4 linked regions of the Saccharomyces cerevisiae S288C genome follow. The gene in region 2 interacts genetically with the main gene of each other region. Each region holds a gene or a part of one and is shown on either strand. Other genes may lie near its edges.

Evidence for each region.
Region 1: of NUC1 (region 2) and ATG8, changing one suppresses a phenotype caused by changing the other (phenotypic suppression), as found in Saccharomyces cerevisiae (one study listed by BioGRID).
Region 3: of NUC1 (region 2) and ATG15, changing one suppresses a phenotype caused by changing the other (phenotypic suppression), as found in Saccharomyces cerevisiae (one study listed by BioGRID).
Region 4: of NUC1 (region 2) and AIF1, changing one enhances a phenotype caused by changing the other (phenotypic enhancement), as found in Saccharomyces cerevisiae (one study listed by BioGRID).

Annotation. Positions count from the first base shown.
Region 1 is NC_001134.8:78,537-83,567, reverse strand, and holds ATG8 (ubiquitin-like protein ATG8), read left to right. Parts: upstream 1-2,836; coding exon 2,837-3,190; downstream 3,191-5,031. Other genes in the region: isoleucine--tRNA ligase ILS1, read left to right, coding at 1-2,525; NUP170 (Nup170p), read right to left, coding at 3,801-5,031.
Region 2 is NC_001142.9:38,100-44,162, reverse strand, and holds NUC1 (ribonuclease), read left to right. Parts: upstream 1-2,979; coding exon 2,980-3,969; downstream 3,970-6,063. Other genes in the region: AP-1 complex accessory protein LAA1, read left to right, coding at 1-2,774; CBP1 (Cbp1p), read right to left, coding at 4,194-6,063. UniProt on the Saccharomyces cerevisiae protein: This enzyme has both RNase and DNase activity.
Region 3 is NC_001135.5:233,564-240,213, forward strand, and holds ATG15 (triglyceride lipase ATG15), read left to right. Parts: upstream 1-3,650; coding exon 3,651-5,213; downstream 5,214-6,650. Other genes in the region: GTPase-activating protein SED4, read right to left, coding at 1-2,759; peptidylprolyl isomerase family protein CPR4, read left to right, coding at 5,492-6,448; mitochondrial 54S ribosomal protein mL49 IMG2, read right to left, coding at 6,540-6,650. UniProt on the Saccharomyces cerevisiae protein: Lipase which is essential for lysis of subvacuolar cytoplasm to vacuole targeted bodies and intravacuolar autophagic bodies. Involved in the lysis of intravacuolar multivesicular body (MVB) vesicles.
Region 4 is NC_001146.8:776,987-782,751, reverse strand, and holds AIF1 (Aif1p), read left to right. Parts: upstream 1-4,013; coding exon 4,014-5,150; downstream 5,151-5,765. Other genes in the region: seripauperin PAU6, read right to left, coding at 472-834; YNR075C-A (uncharacterized protein), read left to right, coding at 1,149-1,241; COS10 (Cos10p), read right to left, coding at 1,712-2,836. UniProt on the Saccharomyces cerevisiae protein: Putative FAD-dependent oxidoreductase involved in the resistance to cercosporin and other singlet oxygen-generating photosensitizers. Translocates from mitochondria to the nucleus under apoptotic conditions, where it degrades DNA and induces apoptosis.

The sequences.
Region 1 (5,031 bases), on a different chromosome or scaffold from region 2:
ATTTGTCGTTATGTGTTAACGCTGATTTCGAATATGTAAAGATTTACGACGAAACCAGAGATCGTTATTTCATCTTATTAGAATCTTTGATTAAAACCTTGTATAAGAAGCCTAAGAATGAAAAATATAAGATTGTGGAAAAAATTAAAGGTTCTGATTTGGTTGGTTTGAAGTATGAACCATTGTTCCCATATTTCGCTGAACAGTTCCATGAAACAGCTTTTAGAGTTATTTCAGATGATTATGTTACTAGTGATTCCGGTACTGGTATTGTTCATAACGCTCCCGCTTTCGGTGAAGAGGATAATGCTGCTTGTTTGAAGAACGGCGTCATATCCGAAGATTCAGTGTTACCTAACGCCATTGATGACCTTGGTAGATTCACGAAAGACGTTCCTGATTTTGAGGGTGTTTATGTCAAGGACGCTGATAAGTTGATTATTAAGTACTTAACTAATACTGGAAATTTGTTATTGGCATCCCAAATTCGCCATTCCTATCCATTCTGTTGGAGATCCGATACCCCATTGTTATACCGTTCTGTTCCAGCTTGGTTCGTTCGTGTTAAAAACATTGTCCCTCAAATGTTGGATTCTGTGATGAAATCTCACTGGGTTCCTAACACCATCAAGGAAAAGAGGTTCGCCAACTGGATCGCCAATGCCCGTGACTGGAACGTTTCCAGAAATAGATATTGGGGTACTCCAATTCCTTTATGGGTTTCAGACGATTTTGAGGAGGTCGTCTGTGTTGGTTCTATCAAAGAATTGGAAGAATTGACCGGTGTGCGTAACATCACTGACTTGCATCGTGATGTCATTGACAAATTGACAATTCCATCCAAGCAAGGTAAGGGTGACTTAAAGAGAATTGAAGAAGTTTTTGATTGTTGGTTTGAATCTGGTTCTATGCCTTATGCTTCTCAACATTATCCATTTGAAAACACAGAAAAATTTGACGAAAGAGTTCCAGCTAATTTCATCTCTGAAGGTTTGGATCAAACAAGAGGTTGGTTCTACACGTTAGCTGTCTTAGGTACCCATCTATTTGGCTCTGTTCCATACAAGAACGTCATCGTCTCTGGTATTGTCTTAGCTGCCGATGGTAGAAAGATGTCTAAATCCTTGAAAAATTACCCTGATCCATCCATTGTTCTGAACAAATATGGTGCGGATGCATTAAGATTGTACTTGATAAACTCACCTGTTTTAAAAGCTGAAAGTTTGAAATTCAAAGAAGAGGGTGTTAAGGAGGTTGTTTCAAAGGTCTTACTACCATGGTGGAACTCCTTTAAATTTTTGGACGGTCAAATTGCCTTGTTGAAAAAGATGTCTAACATCGACTTCCAATATGATGATTCTGTGAAAAGTGATAATGTCATGGACAGATGGATTTTAGCTTCTATGCAATCTCTAGTACAATTCATTCACGAAGAAATGGGTCAGTACAAATTATACACTGTCGTTCCAAAACTTTTGAATTTCATTGATGAATTGACAAACTGGTATATTAGATTTAATCGTCGTCGTTTGAAGGGTGAAAACGGTGTTGAGGACTGTTTGAAAGCATTAAATTCTTTATTCGATGCCTTATTCACATTTGTCCGTGCCATGGCTCCATTCACCCCATTTTTGTCAGAAAGCATTTATTTGAGACTGAAGGAATACATCCCAGAAGCTGTCTTAGCAAAATACGGTAAGGACGGAAGATCAGTCCATTTCTTATCTTACCCAGTGGTCAAGAAAGAATACTTTGACGAGGCCATCGAAACTGCAGTTTCTAGAATGCAATCCGTTATCGATTTGGGTAGAAACATTCGTGAAAAGAAAACTATTTCCTTAAAAACTCCATTGAAGACTTTGGTCATCCTTCACAGTGATGAATCATACTTGAAGGATGTAGAAGCCTTGAAAAACTACATTATCGAGGAATTAAATGTTCGTGATGTTGTTATCACCTCCGATGAGGCAAAATATGGTGTTGAGTATAAAGCAGTTGCTGATTGGCCTGTATTGGGTAAGAAGTTGAAAAAAGACGCAAAGAAGGTTAAAGATGCCCTACCATCAGTCACTTCTGAGCAAGTACGGGAATATTTGGAAAGCGGAAAGTTGGAGGTTGCCGGTATTGAACTGGTTAAAGGAGATTTGAATGCTATTAGAGGCTTGCCAGAATCTGCTGTCCAAGCTGGACAAGAAACCAGAACCGACCAAGACGTGTTAATCATCATGGATACAAATATTTACTCTGAACTAAAGAGTGAAGGTCTCGCAAGAGAGCTGGTCAACAGAATCCAAAAATTGAGAAAGAAGTGTGGTTTGGAAGCCACCGACGATGTTTTAGTGGAGTACGAATTAGTTAAAGATACTATCGACTTTGAAGCCATTGTCAAAGAACATTTTGATATGTTAAGCAAGACCTGTAGATCCGACATTGCCAAATATGACGGCTCAAAGACAGACCCAATTGGTGATGAAGAACAATCTATTAATGACACCATTTTCAAATTAAAAGTGTTCAAATTATGAAAACAACTCATATAAATACGTACAAATTTTTCTCTACTCGAAGTGATATAGATGTATATGTGTAAGTTTACGTTTAAGTTAGAGTCATGTAATGCTAACTGTCTCCACCGATAATGTTGTATAATACCCGTGAAATCATAGCACATGATATATCATCACCCGGAGGCCGGTTATTTTCGGCGGCGGCAAAAATATTTGGTATAATTATGGAAATACAAAAAGGGGAACCATTAAAGGTTGAGGAGGGGATTGATAAGAGAATCTAATAATTGTAAAGTTGAGAAAATCATAATAAAATAATTACTAGAGACATGAAGTCTACATTTAAGTCTGAATATCCATTTGAAAAAAGGAAGGCGGAGTCGGAGAGGATTGCTGACAGGTTCAAGAATAGGATACCTGTGATTTGCGAAAAAGCTGAAAAGTCAGATATTCCAGAGATTGATAAGCGTAAATATCTAGTTCCTGCTGACCTTACCGTAGGGCAATTTGTTTATGTTATAAGAAAGAGAATTATGCTACCCCCTGAGAAGGCCATCTTCATTTTTGTCAATGATACTTTGCCACCTACTGCGGCGTTGATGTCTGCCATATATCAAGAACACAAGGATAAGGACGGGTTTTTGTATGTCACTTACTCAGGAGAAAATACATTTGGCAGGTAGTCTTTTATATGAAAAGAAATGAAGCGTTAACATCTAAAATCGAAATTATAGGGACTCATTAGCCATCTATTGTTCCAGTATAAGAATGTTTACATAAAAAATTCGAAAAAAAAAGATAAAATAAGGGAAAAATATATATATATTCATTAAGAAGTTTTGTACACAACGGAGCCAAGATTTCACCAGTATTTGGAGACAAATGTGAGCACGTTATGGTATTTACTTACAGATTACGATCTGTTCAATGCATCAGAAATAGGAAGAAATTCAAAATAAAATAAAAAAAATATTAGGAAGGAGTGAAAAAGCAAATAAGATGATACAGTAAGGTGGAGTTAATGTCTTTCTTCTCCAAAATGTATTCTTGCTAACCAAAAATCTGATTCTCTCTGACCTGTTCGTTTGTCTTATGTATGTAGAATCAATTTCTTACAGAATTTTAAATACTGTATAGTGGAAAAGAATAATAAATAAATACTCGACTATATTTACCTTTATCTTAAGGAAAAGTTCACTCGATATTCTTAACTTTACCGTCTAGTAAGGCCTCTTTATTACATTAAAATATACACGTACATTACCCTGCTATCTATATGTCGAACATGAATTTTTATTCTTTGTAGAAACAAATCCCCAAATTATTGCCGCTGTTCTTAACGTACTTTTCAATTGGATCATTATCAATTTTGTATTCCTTCAAGTGAATGATATCGTTGTAGGAAATAATGTCCCTAAATTTCCTGTCCGATTTGTACCATTCGTGAATTAACCAGGTCATTTCTTTATTAAATACGGAATTATCGGAATCTGATGTCTCGATTAGTTCTTTTAAAATATAGTACATTTTGTTGAAAGAAACACCCGCTGTTATGAATATAGAAACTATCGACCCTGATACAATATGTTCCTTAGGTAGTGTTTCGTAGAAAAAATTACAGACAATGGGAAAGAGTTCGAAAATGGGGAAAATGAATTCAGAATCCTGAACATTTTTACCAATTTTAATCAGTACATTAGACAGTAAGTTGATGAAGTTCATTGAATCTTCTTTCTTTCCGGTATTATTAAATTCCATCCTCAAAGATTGGAATAGCTCATCCCACTTGGCCATAATTACTTCATGGTCCCTAAAATCTGCTATCTTGAAAATGAATAGGGCAATTTCATGGTAACTTAAGGGTACAGCAAAATCATTAAACAGCTCACTTGTGCTCAATATTTTACCATCTAGAGTTTTGATCAGCTCATCTTTAATGGCTGAATCTATTCTTGCGTCTGTATACACGAGCGACAATATATCACCTTGAATACCAGCAACTTCACATGCATCTTGGATCCTACTAGCTAATTGTACAATTCTTTGTTTCTGGCTTAATGGTGACACACTGTTGCAAAAACCATTGGCGCGTGAAAGAAACTCAATTCTTTCAAACAATGTGATGTCAAAATTCGATGTAGCTAAACGGTAAAGAATTTCAGCAGATTCGAAAAATTTAGATCTTCTTGAATAATAGACCCAGAGTATATTAGATATCTTCAATGAACTACCTGCCTTTTCCATTAAATAAGGGAGTATGAATGGAGTTTCAATATCTAATAGTTTTTCCTCTCTGTTCTGAGACACAAGCCAATCATACATATGATAGTGGAATAATCTATCGTTATATTTTAGGGCGGCTTCATAACTTTTTTGTCTCAGTTTCACTTCATCGTCATTCGATATCGAAATTTGGTTTTGAGTTTTTGATGACTGTTTTTTTTCGGCAAGTTCGTCTACTTTTATTAAAGTATCAAAAACTAGGTCATAAACTAAGATACGTTTGTCGTAATATTGTTTCCTA
Region 2 (6,063 bases):
CAATCGGTGAAATTTCAAGGACATTGACTGAAACTGTGGGGCCAAATTTTCTAGAACTTAACACCAAGGTTCTTGATTCGTTCAGAAACATTACACTCTCCATGTTAATTTCAAATAATATTCTCAACAGCATAACCAGCATTAAAATGTTTGAAAACATAGCTACTTTTAAAATGAAAAACATTCTAAACTATGAAATCTTTATTCTTGCTTCTAAGAGCATAATTAAAAGTTCAATAGTGACTGGAATAGGCTCATCATATTTTGACACTACATTCACGGGCTCAAATGAACTCATTTCTCGAACTTCAAGTCTGAAAGGCGCCTTTGAAAACTTTGATTTATTGACGTTGTTGTACAAATTACAGATGGAGGAATTTTTCATGAAAGAAATGGAAAATTTGAGCTGGAGATATCTCGCACTTTTTCCAAATTCCGGTTCTGTCAAGAATTATTTTACCGAATGGATATTACATACTTTCAAAAGAGATAATCATTGGTTCGATAAATTATACTCAATATTTAATATGAGTTTAGGAAGACTCTTCCAAAGCTATAACAGAGACGTTTCAGCCCTACTAGAGGTAAATGGCCTAAAAAAATCTTCAGAAAAGGAAATTAAAGGCGAAGAAGAAGAATCAATAGCGAATGTTAACCAACTGACTGACACAGATGCTGGTGGTCTCGACTCTGAGAACCTGCAATGGAAGAGCAGACAGATTATCTTAAATTTAATATTAATGTTGTGCTTAGAATCCGAAAAATATGAAAATCTGCTCCTTGCCCTCAGCAACAAAATTGCAGATCTCATTAAAATATCATTTCGTGGATCTACAGTGAGGAATGAAGGCATGAAGTTAACGGGACTACACATTTTGAATTTTGTTCTCAAGAACTACTCCACCATGAGAGATCCTCAGGTTCCTGGATCGTCGATTTTAGAACAGCAAGAGGCCCAAATAACTAGCGCATTAATGCCTGCTTTTAGTAAAGGAAGCTCACCTACTGTAATGTCCTTTGCTATTACTGTTGCTGCTGAAGTGTTGGCATCGAATATAATGCCACCAGATAAATTGGGAAGAATTTCACAATTACTAATTGACCTTCTTGGTAACTTTAAAGATCCTAATTCCGGTATACGGATAGGGGAAGCTATAATCGTTACACCCAAAGCGAAAAGAAAAATTGAACTTGCCGTTTTGGATGCGTGGGCTGAGGTAGTGCAAAGATCCATCACGTCGTCAAATGATGCGCTTTTCTCTTTTACCAGGAAATATTGGAGCATTTTAGTCCCATTATGGATCATTTCTTTACGTGAATACATGATGATAAAGTATAACGATAATGATTCTACTGTGCAAGTAAAGAATGACTCGAAAGAAAATAGTCTCATTGAACCAAGAAGTACGAAAATTGAGTTATATGAACCGGTCTGGTTAAATTTCGTAGAGGCCCTTGGGTGCACTCTGGATTCAGACGTTCAAGTCATTTTGGCATCTCTTAACGATGAGGAATTAGAGTATTTTCTTTTTATTTTATTTAGCCAATGTTTGGAGGCTATCGTCAAAAATATTGATGATCATTCAGTCAAGATGCAAGTTTTACCGGCTTTACACAATGTTTTGAAGAGCAATCTGTGCATAAAAAGTATATTTGAGGATGATATTATTACTGAAGTTGTTGAGATTATGGACAGACTGATTTCTACAGGCGACAGTAAAGAAGAATTTTTGCTTGTTGATATCATCAGTGACTTGATCATTGGGTATTCGAAGTGTAATGCTACTCCTGAAACATTTCTACAAGATATTGACAAACTATATGAGCTACTGCGACTACTGATGACAATTATTTCTGAGAGGTTGCCATTTATTAAGTATAACGTGCTTACCAGCGAAGAAGATGATAATGAAATAAAAATCTCTCCCACAGATATTAGTCTGTTGAAAAAAACATTTATTGCGTTCGAATCAAATATCAGTAACTTCGACAATATGTTCAAAGTAGATCTTTATTCATGTCTTTTATTCATCATAGGGAAAATTTATGAATGTAGTCATCGTGAAGTAATAATTCCAATCATACTCCCACTTTTCAAGGCACTAGTAAAAGCGCTTACGGAATCTGAGGACGAAAAAAATATTGTGTTACTAGAAATATTCTACGGGTCAATAAAAGATGTTATTTATCATAAGCTGGATTCAAAGAATAAAGTTGCAACCATTTTGATCTTGCTGTCTAATGGATACTCTAAGCTAAGTTTTCAGGAACTGAATCAGTGCGCAAATATTCTCTCGGAGGCATTGAATAATCCTGCTACGCAGCCAATTGCTCTACAAGGCTTCAAGAGAATAATATCTAATATTTTCAAATACCCGTTGTTGCAGTATTTTATGAAGTTGGTTATAAAAAGATTCTTTCAAGATATTCAAACAAACGATTCCTTATCGCAGGCAAGCATTAAAACTAAGTTGATAATTCAGTTTTCCGAGGAAGTAATCAAACAAGATCACCAAAAGGCATCATTGTCAATTGCTTTATGTCTTTCTTTCTTTGCCGCATATCATAGCGCATATACAGAGAAAATAGACAACGAAGTAGCAAGTGGCATAGTTGCTTTGGCTAAATTGGACAAAAATTCATTTAAAGAAGCCATTTCTAGCACTATAAGTCCTCAACAAAAAGCAATTATAGGTTCCGTGATGGAGGCATACGTTAAATCGCAGTCTTTGGGCTCTGTCGAAGAGGCCTTTCAACTGAAATCTTTCGACTAATTGCAAGTCGGATGCATATGCACGGAAATAAAACTCATCGCGAAAAAAGAAAAAAAAAATAAAATCTGTGAAAAAATATCAATGGTGCAATTGGTTATTGGTCACTCATCAAGTAATTTGTTAGTTTTTATAGAGTTACAATTGTATAAAGATAAGAACATTTAGTTAAGTTCCCCACTTATTAGATCCCAAAGTTAAAGTTATCATGTGCAGTAGGATACTCTTGTCCGGTTTAGTCGGACTGGGTGCTGGTACTGGCTTAACCTATCTTCTTTTGAACAAACATTCTCCAACGCAAATCATTGAGACACCTTATCCACCTACCCAGAAACCTAATAGTAATATTCAATCTCACTCTTTCAACGTCGATCCTTCCGGGTTCTTCAAGTATGGTTTTCCTGGTCCGATTCATGATCTGCAGAACCGCGAAGAGTTTATCTCATGTTACAACAGACAAACTCAAAATCCTTATTGGGTCCTCGAACATATAACGCCAGAATCATTGGCTGCAAGGAATGCTGACAGAAAAAATTCCTTTTTCAAGGAAGATGAAGTAATTCCAGAAAAGTTTAGAGGTAAACTAAGAGACTATTTTAGGTCGGGCTATGATCGAGGCCATCAAGCCCCAGCTGCAGACGCAAAATTTTCTCAACAGGCCATGGATGATACATTCTACTTATCCAATATGTGTCCTCAAGTAGGAGAAGGTTTTAATAGAGACTATTGGGCGCATTTGGAGTACTTTTGTAGGGGATTGACTAAGAAATATAAGAGTGTAAGAATCGTGACTGGTCCATTGTATCTACCCAAAAAGGATCCCATAGATAATAAATTTAGGGTTAATTATGAAGTTATTGGCAATCCACCCAGTATTGCTGTTCCAACGCACTTTTTTAAATTGATTGTTGCAGAAGCACCAACAGCCAATCCTGCTAGAGAGGATATTGCTGTCGCGGCATTTGTATTGCCAAACGAACCGATATCAAATGAGACGAAATTGACTGACTTTGAAGTTCCTATAGATGCTTTAGAGAGAAGTACTGGGCTAGAACTTCTGCAAAAAGTACCACCTTCAAAGAAGAAGGCATTATGCAAAGAGGTAAATTGTCAAATTGTAGTGAGAGATTTCTCTAACGCGGCGATCAAACAATCGAAAGATGTGAAATTGTTACCTCCTCCAAAAAAAAGGAATTGAATGTACTGAAAAACTGTAAATATAAATTAATTCATAACACAACGATAGAATAGCATGAAAGAATATAACAAGTCTAACGCATATAACATAAAATAATACATTTATTTGATGATCAAAAAAAGAAAAGAATTAGGATGCAATGCTTGGATTTAGTATATATTTACAGAAATTTGTTTTGTTATTATTTGCTTTGTTATTTATATCGTAAATGTGCGTTTGGCCGTTCATCTTAAGTAACGTTTGACAGCCGACACACCATGCTTTTTAATATCTTGTATGATCTCCTTGTTTGTTTTGAACTCTGAATTTCTAATTTGATGTTTTAAGATGAAATTCCAGTCTAACTTCAATTCCTCAATCGTCATACCGTTCTGGTATAGTTCTGCGCACGCCCAAAGAAAAATGTCTGTTCTTCCTATCTGCAGTGCGCTTAATGCAATATTCCTTAAAATAGTAAACCTGTTTTGATTATTCACTTTTAATTTGACATCACATGGGGAGGATGCAATGAATGGGTTACAGTTCGATTTTGTCCAGTATGTTTTACTTCTCTTTGCAGCATTTATATAAAGTAGTTTTGCCAAATCGATATCCTTCTTGGCATTGGCAACAAATTTACCATCTCGCTTTTTATAATGACAAAGTTTTTTAATGTATAAAGCGGAAACCACATTCCAAAGAGAGTTTCTGTGGTCAGGATCAAAATCATGTGCCTTCGTCAACAAATCGTTTACAAGTGCCATCAAATTATCGGTGAACTTGACCTTTGAAGCCAATTTCCAATCAACTACTTCGTTAATTATTGACCCATAGGCTAACATTGCTTGTCCGGGGGGTATAGTATCGAGTAATTTGACTGCCTTAGCGATATGATCGAGGTTTTGTGTTTTGAAAAGGTGAATAATTATTGCTTGATAATTTTCTTGCGAAAGCGCCCTGAAATTTGTTGTTATTTGCTTCAAAACCCTATCTACACCGTTAGAATCGTTAAATTTCAAATGCATTCTTAGCAATGAAGAAAGACATCTCTTGTTAAGCCAGACAATATGATGGTTTTCGGGTAAAGTGTATCTGTTAATGTTCTGCATGAGTTCCTTGGCCATTGTTAAAGAGTCTTGCTTTGTAATGAAGTCAATAATTGCCGGTAATATCAAAGGGTTATTACAATAGTACTCTGGAGTTAATTGCCAAAACATTTCGCTACATATAGATCTATAGGCTCTATTATGGGTACAAATCTTGAAGACTTTATAAATGATTCTGGAATCATGTGCAGAAATGGAAACATAGTGCTCTTTGATTTTGTTCCAAATAGAATACACACTTGCAACATTTCCTCTTCTATAATTTTCATCAATGGACTTGTACGCAAGCAGCACTTGATCATCCCGAAGCTTCAAATCGTTAGTCAAAGAATAGTTTATATTCATCAGTTTGTTCAGTATAGCCTTGCATAATTGCGGGGCTTCATTACTTAAGCCGAGGGCCTTATTAGAAAGAGTTTCTAATTGAAACCTCGTTAACTTTATTCCGCCTCCGGTTATACTTTCGAACAGAGAGTTCAGTTGTAAATATTTGACTAGATGAACATGATCATGCAGTGGGTTTGGGTACGCTAATACTGATATTATTTTCTTAGCATATTGTTCGTCTAGCTTTTTATCATCTGTAAATAATCTGTAGTACAGCAGGAAAAGGTCGGCAGCCATAACTATGTCTCCTGTGCCGATGGCATCATCAACACACCAGCGCATAGTATCCAATTGCGTAGTCAAGGGCTTTTGATGTCTTACGGATGAAACTTGGGAGACCACTTGATTGACTAGATCCAAGTTTTTCTTGCATTGGTACAAACATTCTCTTCTATAAATTCCTCTTGTAGTCATAGATGAGGTTTTTGTGCGATTGATGAAACTGATGAAATCTTCGATCTTGACCTCGTGTAATATAGAGCTTTCCAGTAAGCTATTTTCTTGTTTCCGAAGACTTTTGTAGTCCGCCATGTCAGACCAATATTTCCGTATTTTCAACTTGTCATTGTCATTTAAATTCGCATTTGCTTTGATAAGGGCCAAGACCTGTTTTTGAATTGGA
Region 3 (6,650 bases), on a different chromosome or scaffold from region 2:
CTTGACGCGCTCTCCACGGATAAAGTTCCCTTGCCTATATCAGACAGAGCGCCAATTGAAGCACCACTACTACTAAAGATCATAGATGCCATAGAAGTCCCTTCAATATTTGTGGATTCTGATAGGGAAGATTGACCAACACTCGTCTTAGGTGATTGTACAGCATCAGTGAAAACACTAGTGGGTTCCGAACTGTCAGCCAAAACACTAGTGGGTTCCGAATTGTCAGCCAAAACACTAGTGGGTTCCAAATTGTCAGCCAACACACTGGTGTATTCCGAATTATCAATCAAGGCACTGGAGCGTTCTGAATCCTCGGTAGAGAAAGCAATTACTCTCGAAGTCTTCGTTTCTGTTTTTGAGAATGAGCTAGTTGCCGTCTCCACAATAGCTGATGAAACAGGTTCAGAGATGGAATGAAATTTAGAAAAAGTGGAATCTGAGATTGAAGGGATTGATTCAGAAGCAAGAACAGAAGAAGTTACAGTCGATACTTCTATTGACTGGAAGCCAGAGGTTATAGATGAATCAGAAAATGTACTCGGATGCGAGGAAATAGAGTCCTGGGATGCTGATGTTGACAAAATTTCTTCATTTGGGATCAAATTAGACGCAACTGAGTCAAATTCGGATGCTATAGAAATAGAATGCGTAGGTGTTTCAACCATACGCTCTAATTCTGATGCTATGGGATCAATTTCGGAGACGGGCGAAGAAACCATAGTGTCTGTGGGCGTCAACAACATTGAAGAAGATGTTGTAACATACTGCTCGGCTTCTGCATTGGAATCTGATGCAGGTATATTCCTATACTCAATTTTTGTAATGACTTCAGTGATTATTTTTGTCTTATAAATCTCTCTCGTGGATGCCGGTTTTGAGTTGTCTAGAAAAGATGTGTTGGCTGCATCATTGGTGGGGTTTGTTTGTGTGGTGGTAACCGCAGTCGCGGTACTTGTGGATAATGCTGTAGTAGGGCTAGTTGTTAACGATGAGGAAAGAGATAATGAAGATGAAGATGAAGACGGCATGTGTGATAGCGAAGGTGATTCAGTACTTAAGAGTTTTGAAACGCTTTCTCTATCTGTTGTTATTTCGCTTTCTGATTGTTCTACTATTAACGAGGACAATTTCTCCTCCAAGTCAGGAGTCGGCTCAGGATATTCTGTGATAGAATTTGAAGATGAGGATAACAAATCTATCGACTCTGAATTCAGTGGAAGCGATGGTTTTTCGACAATATTCGGTTCTGTAGGAGAGGCTAGCGGCTTCGTAATTTCAGAGGTAGGTGAAGACACAATTGGTTCATTAGTGACACTCTCTTCATAGAAAGAAGAAGAAGAAGAAGAAGAAGAAGAAGAAGCTGATGTTGGGATATCTGCAGAAGTGAATTGTGAATCAGCTGATGACGATATCCAAACAAATTTTTGCTCATCTTCTGTGGTGGTTCTCATAGTGCTAGTGTCAAATGAGGAAAATTCAGTCTCTATATCGCTAGCAACATCTGTAGCGCTGATGATATCTGCACTTTCAGTAATGCCTCTGTAATCGTCATTAATAGTGAAATAAGAAGAAGATCCTTGGTCTATGGTAGTGTTTTCCTTGAATTTCGACTTATATATATCATGAGCATGTTTGTAAATAAAGCCGTGCACATTATGTTTGTAGCCTAGTTGAATAGCGCCAGCCAAAACCACTAACAAAACAAAATTCAAGAAAAATTTCCAAATATTTCGTAAAATTGATGACGATGTACCGGAAAGCTTCAGAACGTTGATCGTGTTCCCCATAGAAGTGCTTGCCAAATATCTAGAATCTGGAGAAAAAGTAACTTTTGTTATAGTAGATTCATGTACTCTTGGAACCAACTGAACAAGCTTTAGCTTTTCAACGCTGACGATGGCAACCAAGTTATCGTTAGATGATAATGCAACGAACTTCTTATTTGGGGAGACATCCATCGATGTTATTCCATTCAAATCGAACATGAAGGATGCTGTTTTTAAAATTTTAACACCTTTGGAACTCACACCTAGTTTTAACAAGGAAACTCCATCAGAGTTCGATAATGATGCTGCCACTAATAGCGTATTGTCATTGAGAAACCTGATATTAGAAAGAACAAGATTTTTATCAAAATCCGTTTTCCTTGCTACAAAATTTCCGTCCCTAACAGACGCTACTTCCAAAGAATTAGAAGTGATATATGACAAAAGAATACCGTTAGGGGCGAAGTGCAAATCATTAACTTCCCTACCCGTTTCAATTTCGTAATTTTCCGTCAAATTACGCGGGTCAATGATTCTTATCACAGTGGGCACTTCAGAGGACGCAATTGCAGCTACTGTGGCCCTTTGATTAATGTAAACAAACTTAGTGAAAACGGATGGGTCTGTAGTTCTGTTGAAATCAATACTGGCCACGAATTTTAGATGTTCTTGTTCAAACACAAACTTCCTCAAGTGGTGGTTAACGTTCTCCATGGAGGAATCATTAAACAGTTCATTGCAACCAACTAGAATCAGGTTATTATTACAATCCAATGAAGTGGGCGCATCGTCAATCGAATCTAATGTGATCTCACGAAACCTTCTAATGTGTTTCTTTTTCTGGAAGTTCACCTTTAAAGCTGTAATTTTGTTTGGAAACGAGGAATTGAACTGGCCTCCACCACCAGCCACCAGTAGAGTGCCTTCATTTATAAATTTAGCACCATATATCGGATATCCGACGTCATAGTTTGCAGAGTTGCCACTCATTATTATGCTAGTTTTTCTAAGTTTAAAAGGAGAGAAAAAAAAGGAAGAGAGGACGTATCGTAGGGAATTGTGATGCTTGTTGACAAACAGCCTCCGTCGATCGAAGCAGCTATAAGCGTAGGTTACTTGAAGCGTTCACAGTTCTCATTTACACTGTACAATTCTCGAGATATAAATGAAAATTACTACAACCAAGAAAAAAGGACAGGAGGGCTAAAAGGATAATAAAATAGGGCAGTTACAAATGTGGTCAAAAATACTAGGGCTCAAAATTGCTAAGTAAGGGCTTGACAGATGTAACATAATACGAAATAAACTGGATATCGTTTAATAATTATCAAGGTGATTTAAATCGTAAATACATAGGCTGGGCCATATACACTAACATGTGTCGTGACCAATGTGCAGCAGATAGACTTGCTCATTAAATATATTCCAGGTAGGATTCTCTAAGGGTTTTTTTTTTTCTCTATAGCTGTCACTTTTTTTTTTTTCTCTTATCAATCACAGATATAATAAGCATAACATCGGAAAGAAAATAATGATAGGGCAAAAGGGAAAGCATTTCCAGTTGAATACAGTATCTCTACTATATTGTTGTTCGCTGAAGACAGCCGTTTCCGGAAAAAAGTGATTGTGTGATCGCAGTTACCCGCACCTTTGTTCAACAGTACATAATAAGAATCTGTAGATATAGATGAACTTTCTCTATTACATAAGACTAGCCTAAAAGCCTTGTTTCTATCATTTAAAGGCTTTTGAGACACTCAAATCAGTGTCAACCTTTTGGATAAGTCAAAGAAAGTACGCCGCTGCTCAGAAAATTGTTATCGTGATTGAGAACTGATCTAGGCATTACAATTAAAGGAAACAAGGGAAATATTCTATTGAATGTTGCATAAAAGCCCTTCAAGAAAGAGATTTGCTTCTCCTTTGCATCTAGGATGCATTCTAACGCTTACAGTGCTCTGCCTTATTGCTTACTACTTTGCTTTACCGGATTATTTATCGGTAGGGAAGAGCTCATCCAGGGGTGCCATGGATCAAAAATCTGATGGAACCTTTAGACTTAAGTCTATCTACAGGCATGGCGTCGGAGCAAACCATCGGCTACACCAGAGGCTGGAGGTCACTCCAGAAGTTATTTCTGCCGCTGGAATGCTGTATCAAGAAACCACAACTCAAGGACAGGATTTCGAAGACCAAGAACCCCTATGGACTACTAATGCCGAATATGCCACCACTAACCCATTCGATTTTGAGTTTGAGCTACGAAGGATGCCGCTATTGATGAAGCGGATGAAGGAAAGAGATCCTGAATTCATAGAGTCGTACATTTACGGAGAAACATACATGACGGAGGAGGAAGAACACGCCATGTGGATAGATGATGACATTGTGGCACCCAATATCACAGATAGAGGTACAGTAGTGTCGTTAGCATTAATGTCGTCTAATGCTTACGTGAGAATACCGCAAACGGGAGACTGGCGTAACGTCACGGAGCCGTGGAATGAAACAGAGCCGGAAGATTTTGGTTGGGATGGTGATGGTATACGTGGTCACGTCTTTTACAATGAAGTGGAGAATATCGTGGTACTCTCGATAAAGGGAACCAGCGCTCAGGGTTTGCCAGGGTCTGGCGAAGATGAGACAACTGGAAACGACAAGATCAACGATAATTTGTTATTTTCGTGTTGTTGTGCAAGAGTGAGCTACCTGTGGACTACCGTGTGCGATTGCTATGTGAAGTCGTATATATGCGATGAGTCTTGCCTGGAAAAGGAACTGAGACGTAAGGATAGATTTTACTCTGCAGTCGTTGACATATACAAAGGCGTCCTCAAAGAATACCCCGATGCGGCCATATGGGTCACAGGCCACTCACTGGGAGGCGCATTGGCCAGTTTACTGGGCCGCACTTTTGGATTGCCTGCGGTCGCATTCGAGTCCCCTGGAGAGCTACTACCTTCAAAAAGACTTCACTTACCATTCCCACCGGGACTTCCCTCATACATGGAGGGTATCTGGCACTTCGGTCACAACGCAGACCCAATCTTCATGGGTACATGCAACGGAGCTAGTTCAAGTTGCTCACTGGTGGGCTACGCTATGGAAACCGCGTGCCACACTGGTAGAGTCTGTGTCTACGATGTGGTCAACGACAAGGGCTGGAGTGTAAACATGTTCAACCACAGAATCCACAAAGTCATTGACGAAGTTCTCCTTGGATACGAGCAGGCTGCCAAGTGCGTTGAACCAGAGCCCTGCGTAGATTGCTACAACTGGAAGTTTATTCCAAGCAGAGACTGGGAATCCTCATCGAGGCTCATTACCAAGACTAAAAGCCACGCTGCACCAACCACGACGACTCGCACCACTGCTACTACTACCTCTTCATCTACCTGTGTAGGCCGCAATTGGCTTGGCTTCTGCACCAAATACGAGTTGTAAGACCCATACATCTATTATGACCCTAGTGTTGTTTTAGGGCCTATGCGCCCTTTTTTTCTTCCATTGTCTGATAAATAATGTATCATTTTGACAACTTAAAGGTTCAGCTAAACGACACGAGAAGATATATTAATACTGCTTTAAAGTGAAAGGCGTCAGTCAGGTGCAATTAATAGGTCACATATTCTTTGCTTCAATTGCTCTCTAGCAAACTCACACACTCGTAGATTGGAAGACCGAAGAAAATAGATAGACTTTCGAATAAGTTCAGCAACAACATGTGGTTGAAATCCTTGCTGCTCTGCCTGTACTCCTTAGTACTCTGCCAAGTCCACGCTGCACCTTCATCAGGGAAGCAGATTACCTCCAAGGATGTTGATCTTCAGAAAAAATATGAGCCCAGTCCCCCCGCCACACATCGTGGAATAATCACTATCGAATACTTTGATCCCGTTTCGAAGTCGATGAAAGAGGCGGATCTGACTTTTGAGTTGTACGGTACTGTCGTGCCCAAAACTGTGAACAACTTTGCTATGCTGGCCCATGGTGTTAAGGCAGTTATCGAAGGGAAAGATCCCAATGATATACATACTTACTCGTACCGTAAGACCAAAATCAACAAGGTTTACCCTAACAAGTATATCCAGGGTGGTGTGGTTGCCCCAGATGTGGGTCCTTTCACCGTCTATGGGCCCAAATTTGATGACGAAAACTTTTACTTAAAACATGACAGGCCTGAAAGACTCGCAATGGCCTATTTTGGACCTGATTCTAACACCTCGGAATTCATCATCACCACTAAAGCCGATGGAAATGAGGAATTGGATGGCAAAAGTGTCGTGTTTGGTCAAATAACTTCTGGTCTAGATCAACTAATGGATGCTATTCAATACACAGAAACAGACGAATATGGAAAGCCTCAGCATGAATTACGGTTCCTGTATTTCGTTCTAGAAATCTTAAAAATTAGTAACATCTTAGATTTGCACGCTGCGTACACAGAAAAAGTCGAGAAGTTTAGAAATGGCGATGTGTCTGTTGGCTCCACTTTGGAAAACATCTTCCGTAACGATAAAGCCTACACACCTTTAACCACCTCCACTGGAACCACCGCCTATGATTTAAACCACCCAATTTCCAGAGCCTTGATGTGTTTAACTGTTCTTGGCCTTTGTTTCATTGCCTACAAGGGCATGCACGAAAAGCCTCATACGGTTTCATTAAGACACAAGTAAGCAACTTCTTTTCGATGGCTTGATGACCACATGGCTATGATTTTAATTAATATATATACATGACAATTATTTTTTTATACATTAGCGATACCTAAAATTTCTTGGTTAATACCCTTTTGACAGCCTCTACTGCATTGCCCTTGATAATAATTTTTTTCGATTGCATCACCACAGACCATGATTTTTTGGGTATGAAAGGCAG
Region 4 (5,765 bases), on a different chromosome or scaffold from region 2:
AAATTTTGATATTTTAAGTGTCAAAAATGAGGGTCTCTAAATGAGAGTCTGGTACCATGACTTGTAACTCGCACTGCCCTGATCTGCAATCTTGTTCTTAGAAGTGACGCATATTCTATACGGCCCGACGCGACGCGCCAAAAAATGAAAAAAGAAGCAGCGACTCATTTTTATGGAAGGACAAAGTGCTGCGAAGTCATACGCTTCCAATTTCATTGTTGTTTATTGGGCATACTCTGTTAGCTTTATTTCCGTCCACGCTTTTTCTACAATAGTGTAAAAGTTTCTTTCTTATGTTTATCGTATTCATGAAATACTTCACGAACACCGTCATTGATCAAATAGGTCTATAATATTAATATACATTTATATAATCAACGGTATTTATATCATCAAAAAAAGTAGTTTTTTATTTTATTTTTTCATTACTTTTCACTGTCTATGGATTTTCATTCGTAAAGGCATCACTCCCTAGTTTGCGATAGTGTAGATACCGTCCTTGGATAGAGCCTTGGAGATAGCTGGCTTTAATCTGGTGGAGTACCATGGGACACCGGTTATCATTCTGGTCACTTGGTCTGGGGCAATACCAGTCAACATGGTGGTGAAGTCACCGTAGTTGAAAACGGCTTCAGCAACTTCGACTGGGTAGGTTTCAGTTGGGTGGGCGGCTTGGAACATGTAGTATTGGGCCAAGTGAGCTCTGATATCAGAGACGTAGACACCCAATTCAACCAAGTTGACTCTTTCGTCAGATTGAGCTAGAGTGGTGGTTGCGGAAGCAGTAGCAGCGATGGCGGCAACACCAGCAGCGATTGAAGTTAATTTGACCATTGTATTTGTTTTGTTTGTTAGTGCTGATGTAATCTTAACAAGAAATAGTGAAATGAAAGCGCATACCTCAAAGGCATATAGTTGAAGCAGCTCTATTTATACCCGTTCCTCCATCTGTTATCACTACTTAAACGATTCGTTAACAGATGCTCATTTAGCACCTCACATATTCTCCATATCTCATCTTTCACACAATCTCATTATCACTATGAAGATGTTCTTGTTTTTGAACGAATCATACATCTTTGATAGACTTCGTATGTGGAGTACTGTTTTATGGCACTCATGTGTATTCGTATGCGCAGAATGTGAGAATGCCAATTATAGGGGTGCCGAGGTGCCTTGAAAACCCCTTTTGCGCGCCTGCGAAGTTTCCGCTTTCGGTCAAAAAGAAAATCCGAATTTAGATTTAAGACCCTCGTTCAGAAGCTTATTGTCTAAGCCCATATTCAGTCTGCTCTAAACGGCTTCCATGGAAGTAATATTTCTATCTCTTGAAATCCGTACAAGATATTAGACGTGTGTTGGGAGTCGTATACTGTTGGCGTCTGCAAATTCGTGAATTCTCCGCGAATGCCTTGGTGCAATTACGTAATTGTAGCCGCTGAAGGCGGATGGTTTTGAGAGAAGTTGATGTTCAAAGAATCGTGTATGATAAAAAAGAATGTAACCAGAAGCAGGATTAAAACTCGACGCAGAGGAAAATATTTGATTCCGAGATGTAACCCCCCCTTTTCTAGCCAGATATGAAGGAGAAAAGTGTAAGGGCAATAGATGGCGCTAATTTATTGAATCCAATTTTAAAAATGTTCTCTAGGAAAAATATTAATAGTTGATCCTCCTTGTAGCTTCTAAGTCAAAATAAATGTTTCTATCTTTATGGTAACGGCTCATAGTTACAGCTCAATTGCGCTTCTTGAATGTATTTCCAAAGTTCAACGTTTAATGATCTAGGCGACGCAGATTTTTTTGAGAACAAAAGGCTACTAAAGTTCCGTTCAAAGAATGCCTGACAATCAGTCCCATCAAAGAAAAACTCTTCGTTTTTCCAGACCCTCTTTTCAAATAATCGTGTATTCGTTTTCCTTGCAATTGTATCCCATTTTTCAGGGCTAGCACCCTGCTCGTTTATAATATCTGATAGGTACTGCATTTTATCATCAACTTTCATCGATTTAGGCCTTATGTTTTGAAAATCATCTATCATTCTAAAGAAAATGTCTATTAGCCAATAAGATACCAAGCATGCTGGTGATAAATTTGCACAAATAAAGAAGTCAGACATATCAGGAAGGAAGTCTAGTGGAGAGAAAGAAATCCTGATTCTCTGGCAACTCCATGCTAGCTTGCAGCGATAGGTTTCCTTAGGAAGCTTGACATTTTCCAACATAGTAAGTTTGCATTCCTTCTTACCATGGATCAACCTCCACTGTGCGTTTACTTTTGTAAAATAAACCTGCACCGCGTCTTCGGTGTAAGGGACCAAAATCTCAATTGAACTGAACCTAGGATCTTCGTTTTGTCTCCTCAAAACAGCTGGCTCTAGAATGGTTTTCCTGAATGCTTCTTGGCAGTCAGTACCATTAAAAAAAAAATGTGCAGTTTTCCATGCTTTGTTTTCATACAAGTAGGAATTGAAATGTATTGCAACAGCGTCCCAATCAGCAGAGTATGCACCTGGTGCACTTTTGATGATTTCTTTAGAAAGCTGGGTGAGTTGATTTGATAAAGTATATTTACTGTACTGTATTTGAACTACTGGCAAAATAGCAATTAGCGCCAGGATTAGAACTACTGAAGTCAGAAGGGGATAAAACCAAGTACTGGCCATCCCCCACCAAACGGCAAGCGGTAACCATGATAGCGACCAGATCCAAAATCCTGAGTTGCGAATCTCACTGCACAACCATGTTAAACGGTTTCTGAAAATATCCTCGGGCAAACAAAAGCTACTATGGGTCTCAAGACCTTTAGAGGACAAAAGTCTAATCTCTTCCCCCATATTCAATATAGTGTATTTCACATTAATGTTATGAGGTACGTAACAAGTTTACTGAGGTTTAATCACTCGCAGTGTTTTTTATATAATTCGCAAGATGAAATTTGTTGACAGCGCGTTCATCACGCAGCTGTTGAGTTTTATAGTTAAAGCCACGATCAAAAAAAGAGCAACAGCTTCGAGCAGTTTCGAGTGAAAGAGAATCTATGTTGGTTTATGTTCCGGAAGCACGGGAGAAATGGACTTCACTCAAGTACCCAAGTTATCACTAAAATGTAAGTCAATGTATGTTTACAGATACGAGCTGCGATGTTTTATAATACATGGTACACAATAGGTGAAGTATTGTGGCTTATTTTTGAATTATCAAACAATGTAATAGCTTTCCAAAGCATACCATATAACTCCTATGAATTAAGCGGCGGTCTCATTATAAAGTCGGGACACTTTTTGGTCAAAGCTCTCGATTAGTTTTTGAATACTGTGCAAAGTCTTTAATGATATTGTCATCAGTTCATAATCGAATTCTCTGGTACATTTTTTCTTATTTTATTGATCAATGTTAATGTCAGTTTGCTGGCTCTTGTTTTTTTTTTTTTTTTTTTTTTTTGACTGTTAGTTAAGTTGCCCAGCTAAGCTTACTCAATGAGTTAAGTATTTATTTTCATATTTTCATCATAAAATACTGCGCTATCTCGTGCCCTCGTCTCTTATACAATAGGCAGTACTTGACTAGAATCTAGGAGTGCTTTTCCTGAAACTCTCTATAATAACAACCCATCTCCCGCCGATTGTATAGTGAGCCAAGTGTTCTCATAATGGGGGTCTTGAAGAAGACTTCAATGGTGTCTCATAGTAGCAGTACTAGTAGTGCTAGGAAGATGAGCATTGTACAGCTTACTTTTCGTTATTAGTGATACATGACTGAGTGATTGTAGTTGGTAATACTGGATTAGTAATCGTTAAAAAGCGATAAAAATTAATTGAATGTCCACCCTGCATGATTAGTCCTTTTTATCTGGCTGGACAAATGAAGCCTATTATAAGTATTAATATATTAGCTGCTGCAGACTAGAAACGAAAGCAGTGATAAATCATTGATAGACACACATTTCCTCATCGTTGTTCTTCATTATTTACAGGAAAGAGCAGAGAAAGGAAGAAAGAAATTGCAAAATATATGACAATTAACACAAAGAACATAGTTGTTGTTGGTGCTGGTGTGTTTGGTGTGTCTGTGGCAAATCACTTGTACAGGGAACTGGGTGGGACATACGCAATAAAGCTCGTCACAGCATCTAATTATGTGTATTTTCTACCCTCAGCTGTCCGTTTGACGGTTTCAAAGGATTATACCAAGTCGATCCTGCCGTTAAAAAATGTTCTTGATAGTGGTATTGAAGTTATCAAAGATACGGCTGCCAGCTTTGATGATAAGGAGGTAGTTTTGGGGTCAGACAGGGCCATAAAGTTTGATATCTTGGTTCTTGCAACTGGCTCAAAGTGGGCTGATCCAATTGGTTCAACTTATACCTTCGGGGATAACTATAAAGAGTATTTTGAAAGAGAGGCTTCTCGAATCTCAGATGCAGATCACATACTTTTTCTTGGCGGTGGCTTTGTTAATTGTGAACTAGCTGGTGAATTGTTATTCAAGTATTTGGAGGAGATCAGGTCTGGCAAAAAGCGTATTTCCATTATTCATAATTCCGATAAGCTACTGCCGGACTCTGGGTTATACAACGATACCCTAAGAAAAAATGTGACAGACTATCTCTCAAAAAATGGTATTACGTTGTACTTGAACACAGTAGGGGCTTCTTTAGACACCTCGCCGAAACGTATTTTTCTAGGTGAGGGCTCATCTAAATATATAGATGCTGATTTGATTTACAGAGGCGTTGGTATTTCTCCAAATGTGCCGGTCAACAGTATTTCAGACCTTTGTGACAAGAAAGGGTTCATTCAAGTTGAAAAAAACTTCAGGGTAAAAGCTGTTGAGGCAGGAAACGTTTTTGCCATTGGTGATGTAACGAATTTTAGATATCACGGATTGGTTAAAAGAGATAATTGGGTTGATGTTTTGACCCGAAATGTTATAAGTTCTTTACAAGAAGGAACAGAGGCTAGTCTCGTTGATGCAGATTGTCTTGAGACAGGACATGCCCCAAGTGGTGTCTCCCTTGGGCCAAATGCAGGGTTTGGCCAATTTCCACTACCGTTACTTGGGACGATTAATATTCCATCGTTTTTAATTTCTAGAGCAAAGTCGAAGAATCTTTTCTCCGACAAAATGGAACCTTTATTCAAAAAATAGACTAAAATATGAACTGCAGCGTATATATATATATATATATATATATATTAGTTTCTGTATTGTGAAACAAAGAAGGCCGCTGGAAACAACAAATGTTGAACTTCGCATTCAGATAATAATCTATTAAAACCCGAAGTTACTCGAAAATGTTAGCTTTGGATTCTCACACTATATGTAGTTTCTTTGACAGTAGTAAAACGGTATTACACCTGTGCATTAGAGTTATCAATCGCTTGATAACAATTTGACATTTTGGAGGGTCCATGAAGATAGGTACTGATTTTACTCGAAGTGTGAATGTTTTATACCGAAGTTTTGTTATATAGAGATACAGATATCAACAGGATTGACCACCTTCTTTTTTAAACCTAGTATAATGGGGACGGTGAGAATTAACAGTTAAGGTATAGGCGTGATGCCATGGGAGGGGCAAATACGGAACTGGAGTAAAGTATTGTGTGGTTTAGGTGCTGGGAAAAAGAAAGCATTAGAATGCTCAATAAAACAGCGGCTTCCCGCATAATATTTTTTTGATTATTTCATTCCGAGAAAGGCCGATATATGCAGAGGCTACGTGTTGCTTGCCAACTTCAGTATACTTTGCTTGCCACTACC